Danio rerio: one gene and its partner. The protein of the gene in region 2 interacts with the protein of the main gene of each other region in a pairwise test. Links are inferred from orthologs where the notes say so. Each region holds a gene or a part of one and is shown on either strand. Other genes may lie near its edges.

Evidence for each region.
Region 1: the proteins of esr1 (region 2) and med25 interact in a two-hybrid assay, tested with the Homo sapiens proteins (2 studies listed by BioGRID). The link is inferred for Danio rerio from reciprocal best matches to the Homo sapiens genes ESR1 and MED25.

What each region holds. Positions count from the first base shown.
Region 1 is NC_133178.1:29,271,643-29,277,339, forward strand, and holds the start of med25 (mediator of RNA polymerase II transcription subunit 25), read right to left. Parts: upstream 3,868-5,697; 5' UTR 3,689-3,867; intron 3,293-3,688; 5' UTR 3,232-3,292; coding exon 3,107-3,231; intron 3,032-3,106; coding exon 2,986-3,031; intron 2,907-2,985; coding exon 2,782-2,906; intron 2,648-2,781; coding exon 2,549-2,647; intron 255-2,548; coding exon 134-254; intron 1-133. UniProt on the Homo sapiens protein: Component of the Mediator complex, a coactivator involved in the regulated transcription of nearly all RNA polymerase II-dependent genes.
Region 2 is NC_133195.1:29,073,086-29,077,827, reverse strand, and holds the end of esr1 (estrogen receptor), read left to right. Parts: intron 1-755; coding exon 756-939; intron 940-1,735; coding exon 1,736-1,988; 3' UTR 1,989-3,537; downstream 3,538-4,742.

The sequences.
Region 1 (5,697 bases), on a different chromosome or scaffold from region 2:
CACCTTATTATATCATGCATTATACTGACTATGCATGGTTTGATTACAAGCAAATGCTAAATATTATATTATTTTAAAATCATACTGACATACAGACATAACAGATAAACCAAGAAGCTAAGTGTAAACTCACATCCCGGATGATCTGGACCAGACTGTCTGCGGTGCAGCCCGTATAGCTGACACTCTCCACAGCTGGCAGCAAGTATGGAGGAGAATTACAGAGCAGTACACACACCTTGTGGGTCTGACCACTACATAGAGAAACAAAAGAATCAAAGAATCACCAGTGATAATAGGAAAATTGTCTCCAGTAGGTCATTTCAGCATCAATATTGAGATTACAGTTGACCACATTACAGTTCAGTACAGAATATACAGCTCAGAGCATTGTGGAGTCATTGCAAAGTTTAACCTTAGAATGAAAGTTTTCACTCAGTGAAATTAATTCATTAAGGAACAAGAAATTATAACTTTTGTTGCCAAAATATTACTTAATATAACATTTACACATTTAAAACTATACATTTTAGTTGTTTAACAATAACAGTTGATTATTCAATTCATGTACCCGGCTCTTTTAGACTCTCTAGAAAACCATAAAGCACTGTTTTTCCCTTTGTATACTTTGCTCTGAGGTTTTTAGCTATGCTTATATTTTTATATAATATTTTAAAGATAGATACGCTCGCTTACAATGAGAATCTCTTTAAAAAAAAGAGCTATTTAAGTATCAGTTGTACTTATAAATCAATGAATAATCACAGAAAAACACATTATCGCAATTTCAGTTTTTCCCATTATCATACAGCCCTAATGTGAACATCACTTTTTTTGATATCAATTTTAGTTTGATATATTATACAGCCCTAGTCTTCAGCATTTTACTGATAATGTAGTGCACATGATGATGGCATCCCTTAAAAATGCAGTGTCATTAGTTTTGTTGTACTGGAAAGAACTCTGCACAAATTAATGTAGACTGATAAACTATTATATTTTTAACTATATGATATTCACGACTATGTAAGTCTTATGATCCCTTCTTTGCTAATAAAGGACTATAGGGACATTCTAAGCACAGAATGAGTCATCTGGGTGAGGTAGAGTTCCTTCACATCTCACATCTCCAATACTTTGCTTTCCACCAAACACAATTTATCTACTTGTGATCTCCTTTTATGTCATTCTGTCACATTAAGTGTCATTTGATGTTTTCTAATGAATGATTAATCTACTAATGTTTAGTTATGACCCGAGGATAATATTGCATACTTTATAATGCATATTTACATCTCCCCCTCTTTATCTCCTCACATTTCAGCTGGTTTTGGGGAATGGTATTTCACTCATGCCTAGAAATGTATCTGTTGTTCTCTGTCTTTGCTGCATAGCAGAGCAAAAATCAAAACTAAGCTTTTTTGTATACATTATGTTTAGGGTAGCATATCATATTGTTTGAGCATCAATATCACAGTGTGTGTGTCCGCAACAGTCAAATTGCAGGATTAAATTATTTATTAAAGAGTTAAAGATAAATTATTAAATATTATTTTTTAATAATTATTGAAATGATGACCATGTTATTTTATGCTTGATTGTTCAATTTCTGTACCTGAAATACTGTTAAACTTTCCAGAAAATTACAAAGTATGGTTTATTTAACTTTTTTTCTGGCTCTATTGTGTGTGTGTGTGTGTGTGTGTGTGTGTGTGTGTGTGTGTGTGTGTGTGTGTGTGTGTGTGTGTGTGTATATATATATATATATATATACACACACACACACAAAGAGTTTAGAAACAAAAACCTCTAAATACTGTCTGAAATTGTCCTCTAAAATGTGCATTTTTAATCAGGCTCCTGTGTGTATGTTCAGTAATACCAATTTTATGGCAAAGAACAAGACCTTTTCTTGGTCTTTAAAGTGAAATATCTCAACATAAACAAAGAAAGCTGAAAAAAAAAATTCAAACTTTTGATAAACATTTCAGACGGCACTCAGAGGTTTTTCCATCTGAATATATATAAAATAATTTATGTATATGCAGTGCATAGAAAAAGACCTGATCATCATATTATCTAAATGAATAAAATCTTTCTAAATAGAGCTATTCAATTCACCTGGTGAAATTGTACTCTTATCGCTATATATATTACAGAAAACAAAAAATATTGCAATGTCTCATATTTTCAATATTGTGCAGCCCTAATAATGTTGATATATTTCATTCTACTGTCTGTATATTAAAACATGTAACTTAACATGAAATGTTCTTTCTTTTACAGCTTTAAGATTATCTCTCTTTATCAGTGATGTTAATAACTTTAACAGTGTTTGATTAATTATGGTGGAGTCAGACAAATAATTGATTATTACACACCATCCTTCAACTGCTTTCTGTTCTGATAATCTTTATAAATAGTGCTGTGTTCAAAGATTTTTCTTGTATTTACATTTCAAAAAAAGTCATTTTAAAATACCTTAAGCAAGCTGATTAAACCCTCAAAAGCAGATTTGTGATTTCATAGAACAAGTTCAAGAACTCACATTTGCTCCCTCATCTTTTTGAAGTCGTCAAAGAGCTGCAGGGCCACAGAAAGACCCTCAGCTATAAGACTGCAGCTCTCTGCTCCACCTCCCATGAACCTGTGCAACAACAAAAAAAAACTGTTAAAACTGTTCTCAGTATTTCAATCACAATATCTTTAAAGCAGACATTCACTTAAAACCTTTATCCCAGACTTCCTGACATAAAATAGGATTACAATGGGATTCCTTACTGAATGCTGTCAATCCAAGACACAAACTCGAAGGCAGAGCTGGTTGGAGCATGGCACTGGACATATGACTCTGGAGCACAATCCACTGTGTTGAATACCACCAGTCCATACTGAGTGCCACCATACTTATAAAACAAACAAGATCATCAGAATTGAGATGGCAGAAATGTAAAGAGAAGGTATAAACAGACTCCTCCAACTCACATCTCCTCCAAAATCAGTTTCAGCCGGTGGTCCTCCATTAAAATACCTGTAAATATATTAAATAAGTCAGTTCAAGTGTCTAACAAATGTACTGTATTGTAATGAATGTCATAAATCTTACTCTATAGTAGGCAGTATGTAATTATTCCGAAGTGATTCAAAATATGGACCAAGGTTTGCAGTTCCTTCAATGACAAACACCACATCTGACACCTGATTCAACCCAGATTTGGACGTGGGGTCCATATGGGTCACCTTTGGTCTACAGCCAACACAGATATAAGATCAAACTCATATAGAAGATTTGCTGGAATAAAACGAAATATTAATGTTTTATAATGTTTTATTGATGAATGACTTTATATTGGTGTTATTTGCTATTATTTTAACATTATTTCCATTCTAAATGCAAGTAAACCAAACCAAGACATACATATTTGGCTGTCTTAATACCTAACGTTAGTAATACACATAAACAATTTTTTTTAACTGAATCATTCATTATGTCCGTGCCAAAAAGCCTAAGAGACTTATTTTAGATGTGATATATTTGTCTTATCATTACCTAATTAACGAGTAAATTCTTAAAAACACAATATCAATACAAATAAATTAAAATGTAAAACGTGAACACTATCCATTCATACAGGTCTTAGCATGCTAGCCGCTAACCTCAAATGCTAATTTAGCTCGGGTGTCTTACCTGCTAGAATTAGTAGAACTGGCTTTTACTGTGAATAAAACAAACCGGTTCAGTCATTTATCTTGATTATATCCGAACCAGCCCCTGGTAGTTTTATTGTGTATTAAAGCTTCATCTGAAAGTAAATGTAGAGCGTAATGACAACAAACATCGGGATTTTTGGCTCGGCAATCGACAGTACGGTCTGGTTTTAGATCTTGAAAGTGGACTGGGCTGGTGAATCGATTTATGAATGATCAATTTAGAAACCAACAGCAGCGACGTCCTTTTCAGTCGTCATTCTTTGTTATTATCATCCTTATTATAATCATTGTTATTTTTGCGGTTTAAACACGGACATAGCCATTGTATTGTTAGATAATAAAAAAATAAAATAAAATAAAGCTTAAGAAAGTAAGTGGCTTCGTCGATGATCATAACAAATTGCATCATCTTTATTATTATCAATGATTATCATTACAAATTATTGTTATTAATTATTATTATTATTATTTAAAAGTTTTCTGAAACAAAATGGGCATTTTAAGGAATATATTTAAAATTGCCTTAAATAAATTAATTATTTAAATGTTTTCAATGATGGTAAATAATTATAATCAATATTATTTTAAGGCATAATAATAAATACAATTATTATTAATTATTATTACCAATTATTATTATTGGTGATATATCATTGATATTATTCTTATCATTATTATCTATTATTATTATTATTGTAATTATCTAAAGGCTTATCTAAAATGACCATAATTATTTTAAGAAATAATAACAAGACTTTTTTATTGTTACCAATTTTCTTTATTATTGTTGTTGGTATTAATATTAACTATTATCATTAATTAGAATTACCATTTTTATTATTATTATTATCATGTATTCTTTTTCTTTTTCTTCTTCTTATTATTATTATCATGTTATCTTCTTCTTATTATTATTATTATTATTATTATTATTATATAAAAGTTTTTTAAGCAAAATGGGCATGATTCAGTTTAAAGAATCGGCCTATAATCAAAATCATATTAAATAAATTCATTATTTAAACGTTTTCAATAATAGTAAATAATTATAATTATTATTATTATTTTAAGGCATAAAAATAATAACAACAATTATTATTACCAATTATTATTATTGTTGGTATATCATTAATATTATTCTTATCATGATTAGTTATTATTATTTTTCATTCATTTATTTTCTTGTCGGCTTAGTCCCATTATTAATCTGGGGTCGCCACAGCGGAATGAACCGCCAACTTATCCAGCAAGTTTTTATGCAGCAGATGCCCTTCCAGCCACAACCCATCTCTGGAAAGATCCACACACACACACATTCACACACACACACACTACGGACAATTTAGCCTACCCAATTCACCTGTACCGCATGTCTTTGGACTGTGGGGGAAACCGGAGCACCCGGAAGAAACCCACGCGAACGCAGGGAGAACATGCAAACTCCACACAGAAACGCCAACTGAGCCGAGGGTTAAACCAGCGACCTTCTTGCTGTGAGGCAACAGCACTACCTACTGCGCCACTGCTTCGCCGCTATTATTTTTATAATTATCTAAAAGCTTTATGAAATAAAATGAGCATGATTCGGTTGAAAGAATATATTCAAAATAGTATTAAACAAATTCATCATTTAAACTTATTCAGTAATAATAATTATTATAATCATTGTTATGGGTGAGGCAGTGGCGCAGTAGGCAGTGTCGCCTCACAGCAAGAAGGTCGCTGGGTTGCTGGTTTGAACCTCGGCTCAGTTGGCGTTTCTGTGTGGAGTTTGCATGTTCTCCCTGCCTTCGAGTGGGTTTCCTCCAGGTGCTCCGGTTTCCCCCACAGTCCAAAGACATGTAGTACAGGTGAATTGGATAGGCTAAATTGTCCATAGTGTATGAGTGTGTGTGTGTGTGTGTGTGTGTGTGTGTGTGTGTGTGTGAATAAGTGTGTGAATGTTTCCCAGAGATGGGTTGTGGCTGGAAGGGCATCCGCTGTGTA
Region 2 (4,742 bases):
CAGCTCTCAATAGTGTAAATTCTTGTAAAACAATCAAACTAAATCAACAGATTTCTATACAGTTCAAAACAGAATTATTAGCCCCCTGTTTATTTTTACCCAATTTCTGAACAGAATAGTTTTAACTTAATTCTAATAACTGATTTATTTTATCTTTGCCATGATGACAGTAAATAATATTTGACTAGATAATTTTCAAGACACTTCTATACAGCTTAAAGTGACATATAAAGGCTTAACTAGGTCAATTAAGTTAACTAGGCAGGTTAGAGTAATTAGGCAAGTTATTGTATATCGATGGTTTGTTCTGAGGACAGCCAAAAAAAAAAAAAAAAAAAAATAGCTTAAAGAGGCTAATAATTTTGACCTTAAAATGGTTTATAAAAAAACAAAAACTGCTTTTATTCTAGCCGAAATAAAACAAATAAGATTTTCTCCAAAAGAAAAAATATTATGAGACATACTGTGAAAATTTCCCAGCTCTGTTAAACATCATTTGAGAAAAATTTAAAAAGGAAAAATAAATCAACGTGGGGCTAATAATTCTAACTTTAATTGTACATATAAAATCTTTTTCAGAATCGGTGATAAATATTATTGTTAAAGCTTCACTTTTTGTGTTTTTTTTTCTCTTTGGTGATTTATCAGTCCATCAAGTGTCAGTCTCACGCACTACATAACAATTGTGCCAAAATGTGAACAAAATCAAAGGTTAATGTGTAGTGTTGTAATGGCTACCTTTTCTGTCTGGTCAGGTGCATTTTCATTCTGCTCCAGTCCAGTGGAGCCGCTGATGGACAACTTCATGGTGCAGTGCATGCTGGACAACATCACTGATGCCCTCATTTACTGCATCAGTAAATCAGGAGCGTCGCTGCAGCTGCAGTCCCGTCGCCAGGCCCAGCTCCTGCTGCTGCTCTCACACATCAGACACATGAGGTACATTGAGAGTCACACACACATAACTAAATTTACACTACTAACATCAGAAACCAGATAAAGGACCATTGAAAAATGTTCAGTAACATTTCAGATGTTTTCTTTCTTCTAATAAATACTGTATTCGACCATCATAATACAAATAATATAATATTAATAAGACAACAAAATGCACCAAATCAGCATACTGGAATTTATGATAGATCAATCGACACAGAACTAACCTAATTAACAAAAAAAAACATAATTTTTAGACAATAGAATATAAAATATTTGTTTTGTATTGCTTATATCCAAAGCAAGAGCAATGTTACTGAGAACAATAGAAATAATCAAACAAAATACCCCAGGGCTTTGAATAATTTTATACTTGACTGTATATAAATATATACAGAAATGTTATATAGTAAAAAGAGAATAGATAAAAGTGTTGGTATTACAATATATATATGTGTGTGTGTGTGTGTGTGTGTGTGTGTGTGTTAAAATTAAAAGGTAGAATAGATCAAGTAAATCCTTTATAATATTGTCTTTAATCCTGCCTTTATTATTACCTTCATTAAAAAAATCTACTAAAATGTATTTCATTACACATTATGATACACTATCCAATAACCCTTTATTAATCCATTAATAAATAATAAAAAACTATTACTTTTTTGGTTGGAAAAGGTTTACCCTTTAAATTGGACTTTCTTGTCTTCATAAAGAACAATTAAATGGCGATATTGTTGCTGAATTATTACAGCATACATTACAGTCACACACACTCTATATCTGCATTCTTTTTTGAAAGCAACAAAGGAATGGAGCACTTATACCGAATGAAATGTAAGAATCGAGTGCCGCTGTATGACCTGTTGCTGGAGATGCTGGACGCTCAGCGGTTCCAGTCTTCAGGGAAGGTGCAGCGAGTGTGGTCTCAGAGCGAGAAAAACCCTCCATCCACACCCACAACCAGCAGCAGCAGCAGCAACAACAGTCCAAGAGGAGGAGCTGCAGCCATTCAGTCCAACGGCGCCTGTCACAGCCATAGCCCTGACCCCTGACCTGTGCACTGCCACCATATACACATTATACACAATTTGAAGAGCAGAAATGAGGACTAGGACTTCAGTCTCTTCTTGTGCCTTACGAGAGTCTACTATTGAAACCGAGACATTCGAAAGAGAATTTGTTTATAGAAAAAAAAGTCTGTAAATAAGAATAAGCCTCCCAAACACTATATATTGAGGATCTATTTACGGTTGATTTCGCTCGGTTTTTGTGGAAGCTGATTACAGGAATTTGTTTTTCCCATACACTTGAGAGAAACAGAGAGAGATGCTAATTCATCTTTTATTCTTTTACAATTTGTGACCGTTTGACATCACAAACTCACTTAAAGCTCTCATACTGATCATATGGCAGTCAAAAAATACTGATTTAATTTTCAATAAATTAATATATTATAATAGTATATTAGTGTTAAAATAGTATTTTGTATTTTTAGAGTATTTTATTGTCATAAATAATGTTAATGCAATAGTAATTATCCATTTATGACCAGATATTACAAAGTTTTAAGAAACAGATCTGAAAATGAAATTTCCAACTTTTAAATGTTGAATGCAGAAATGAAAAAGTTCCACATCCACACAGTAGGCTACCAAAAAACAAGTAAATTAAGTTTAAACGCTGCTCTGATTTCCTCATCTACATTCTTTATAGTATAGCTTATGTTTGCATTGCAAAAAAAGAAAAAAAAAGAATGAATGAAGGGATAATTGTTTTTTTAACTACTCAAGTTCTTCTAGTTGATGCATGTGCCAACTTTTTCTTGCCAATCTTAAGCCAATTGTAATGTTTCGTTTTTAGTTCAATTTGGAATTTCCACAACTTTGGCAGAGATCGGGGGATCAGAGTGAGCGCTCCTACTTGGCCCCACCCTGATCAAGAAAGGCATAAATTAAAGCGCTCTGACTGAATTTTATGATTGGTCCAGTATTATTACTGACATGCTTAAATATTTTTTGTTTGTTTTTTGCTTTTACTTATTTTTATTGAATTCTTAATTTGTTAAAATATTAGCCTGTTTTGCTTTTCTTTCTTTTTTTTTTTTTAAAGATCCTGTTTACACACAATTCCCTAAACAGATTACGGACGTTGCTATTAAATGACAGTTTTTCATGTTAATAAGCTTTTTATCTAAAATAACATGAGCTCTGCGATATAAAGTGTGAACAGACAGAAAACAGCCCAGGAGAAAAGTTACTCTTAGAACAAACGGGGAAAAACCTGATTACTTGTAAAAGGGGCTTTATGTTAATGAAGTGAGTCTTTTCATTGCAATCAGGGATATATTATGGATCTAAATCCCTCTTCTATTTTAAACGTTGATATGTAATTTAATGGGGAAAAACTGCTCAGTGATCAGTGGTAACATTATAGCTGCATCTTATTTGTGCAAAAATGTTTACTTGTTGGTTAATATGAAATGATTTTTTTAATTGCTGTTCTTGTTACAGTGCTGTCTGTCATTGTTGATTTTATTGCTATCTTAACAGATTACTGCTTGAAAAGAAAGCCCAATTTCAACATTGTGAAGGTCTGAAATGAGTCTGTGGTCCACTTTTAATGCAGGAACTCACACTGACTGCCTTAGATTCTACTTTACATTCTACTGTCATATTTTGCTTCATATCCGTCAATGTGTTTGGTCATAATCCATTAGTCTTGTGTGCACATTGTATTTAGCAGCTCTTACATCGGATACTTGAATGTTACCATTTGTACAAACGTTTTAATTTTGGAGGACCTGAATGTGAAAATGTTCATGAAGCTCAATTAATTACACAGGAGTTAAAAAAAATTATAATAATTATCTTAAAGAAACTTAAAGGCACACTTGCAGAATTTATATATACATATATATATTAAATGAAAAGATTTGTCTTTATTGTCAGCATTAGCAAACTGTACATACATAAATAGGCATAAACATTGTAATCATAATTAATGTTTTGTCACATTTTCATTGTCATAACACACAAATTAAGATACAATAATTAGATATCGGTAATAAAAGCACGCGTCTCTCATGGAGCTACATCAGTTACTGTTTTACATTTTGGGATTTAAAAAAAGTAAATCCATGCCATAAAATAAAAATTTGAATTGCCATGCAAAATCTTATTTAAATAATAATAATAATAATAACAATGAAAATATTTTTTTCTACAGTTTTAAATAATAAAAAAATAAAAAATTAACACTTTTCTTAGTCTAAGCAAATAATTTTGGCCATTTTCGTGGACGGTATAAGTGCAGTACCTTTTGCGTATGTCAGTGCTATTAAATACATAATATATGATTTATTTCTCTTCCGTTTCTTTGTACAGAAGAGCTTCACCAGATTGACTGTCCAACACTAGTCTACATTGCAATGAGTTCAATAGTACGCATTTAGTGAAAAATGAAATTAGCAGCAGTAACTGTACAGGAACAGGAACATGTGTTCCTGGACATGTGGACAGAAACACATTCTGTGACCTGCAGTGAATTACAGGACGTATAAAAGCGTCAGTCAGTAAAATCTCATACAGGAGGTGGGCCATTGGTGTAGCGCAGCATGGGATGAAAAGAGCGAGCGAAGTTGTTTGCGAGGGTACAGCTGTAGTCCTGCTCAGTCATGGGAACCAGACAGGTCAGGCCCACTATGAGCAGCAGGAGGAGCTGCAGTGGCAGAGCCGCCCGGAGCACTCGCAGGAGGAAGGGCTGGCAGCGAACCACAGCAACGCCACCTTGTGACCCGGAGGAACCAG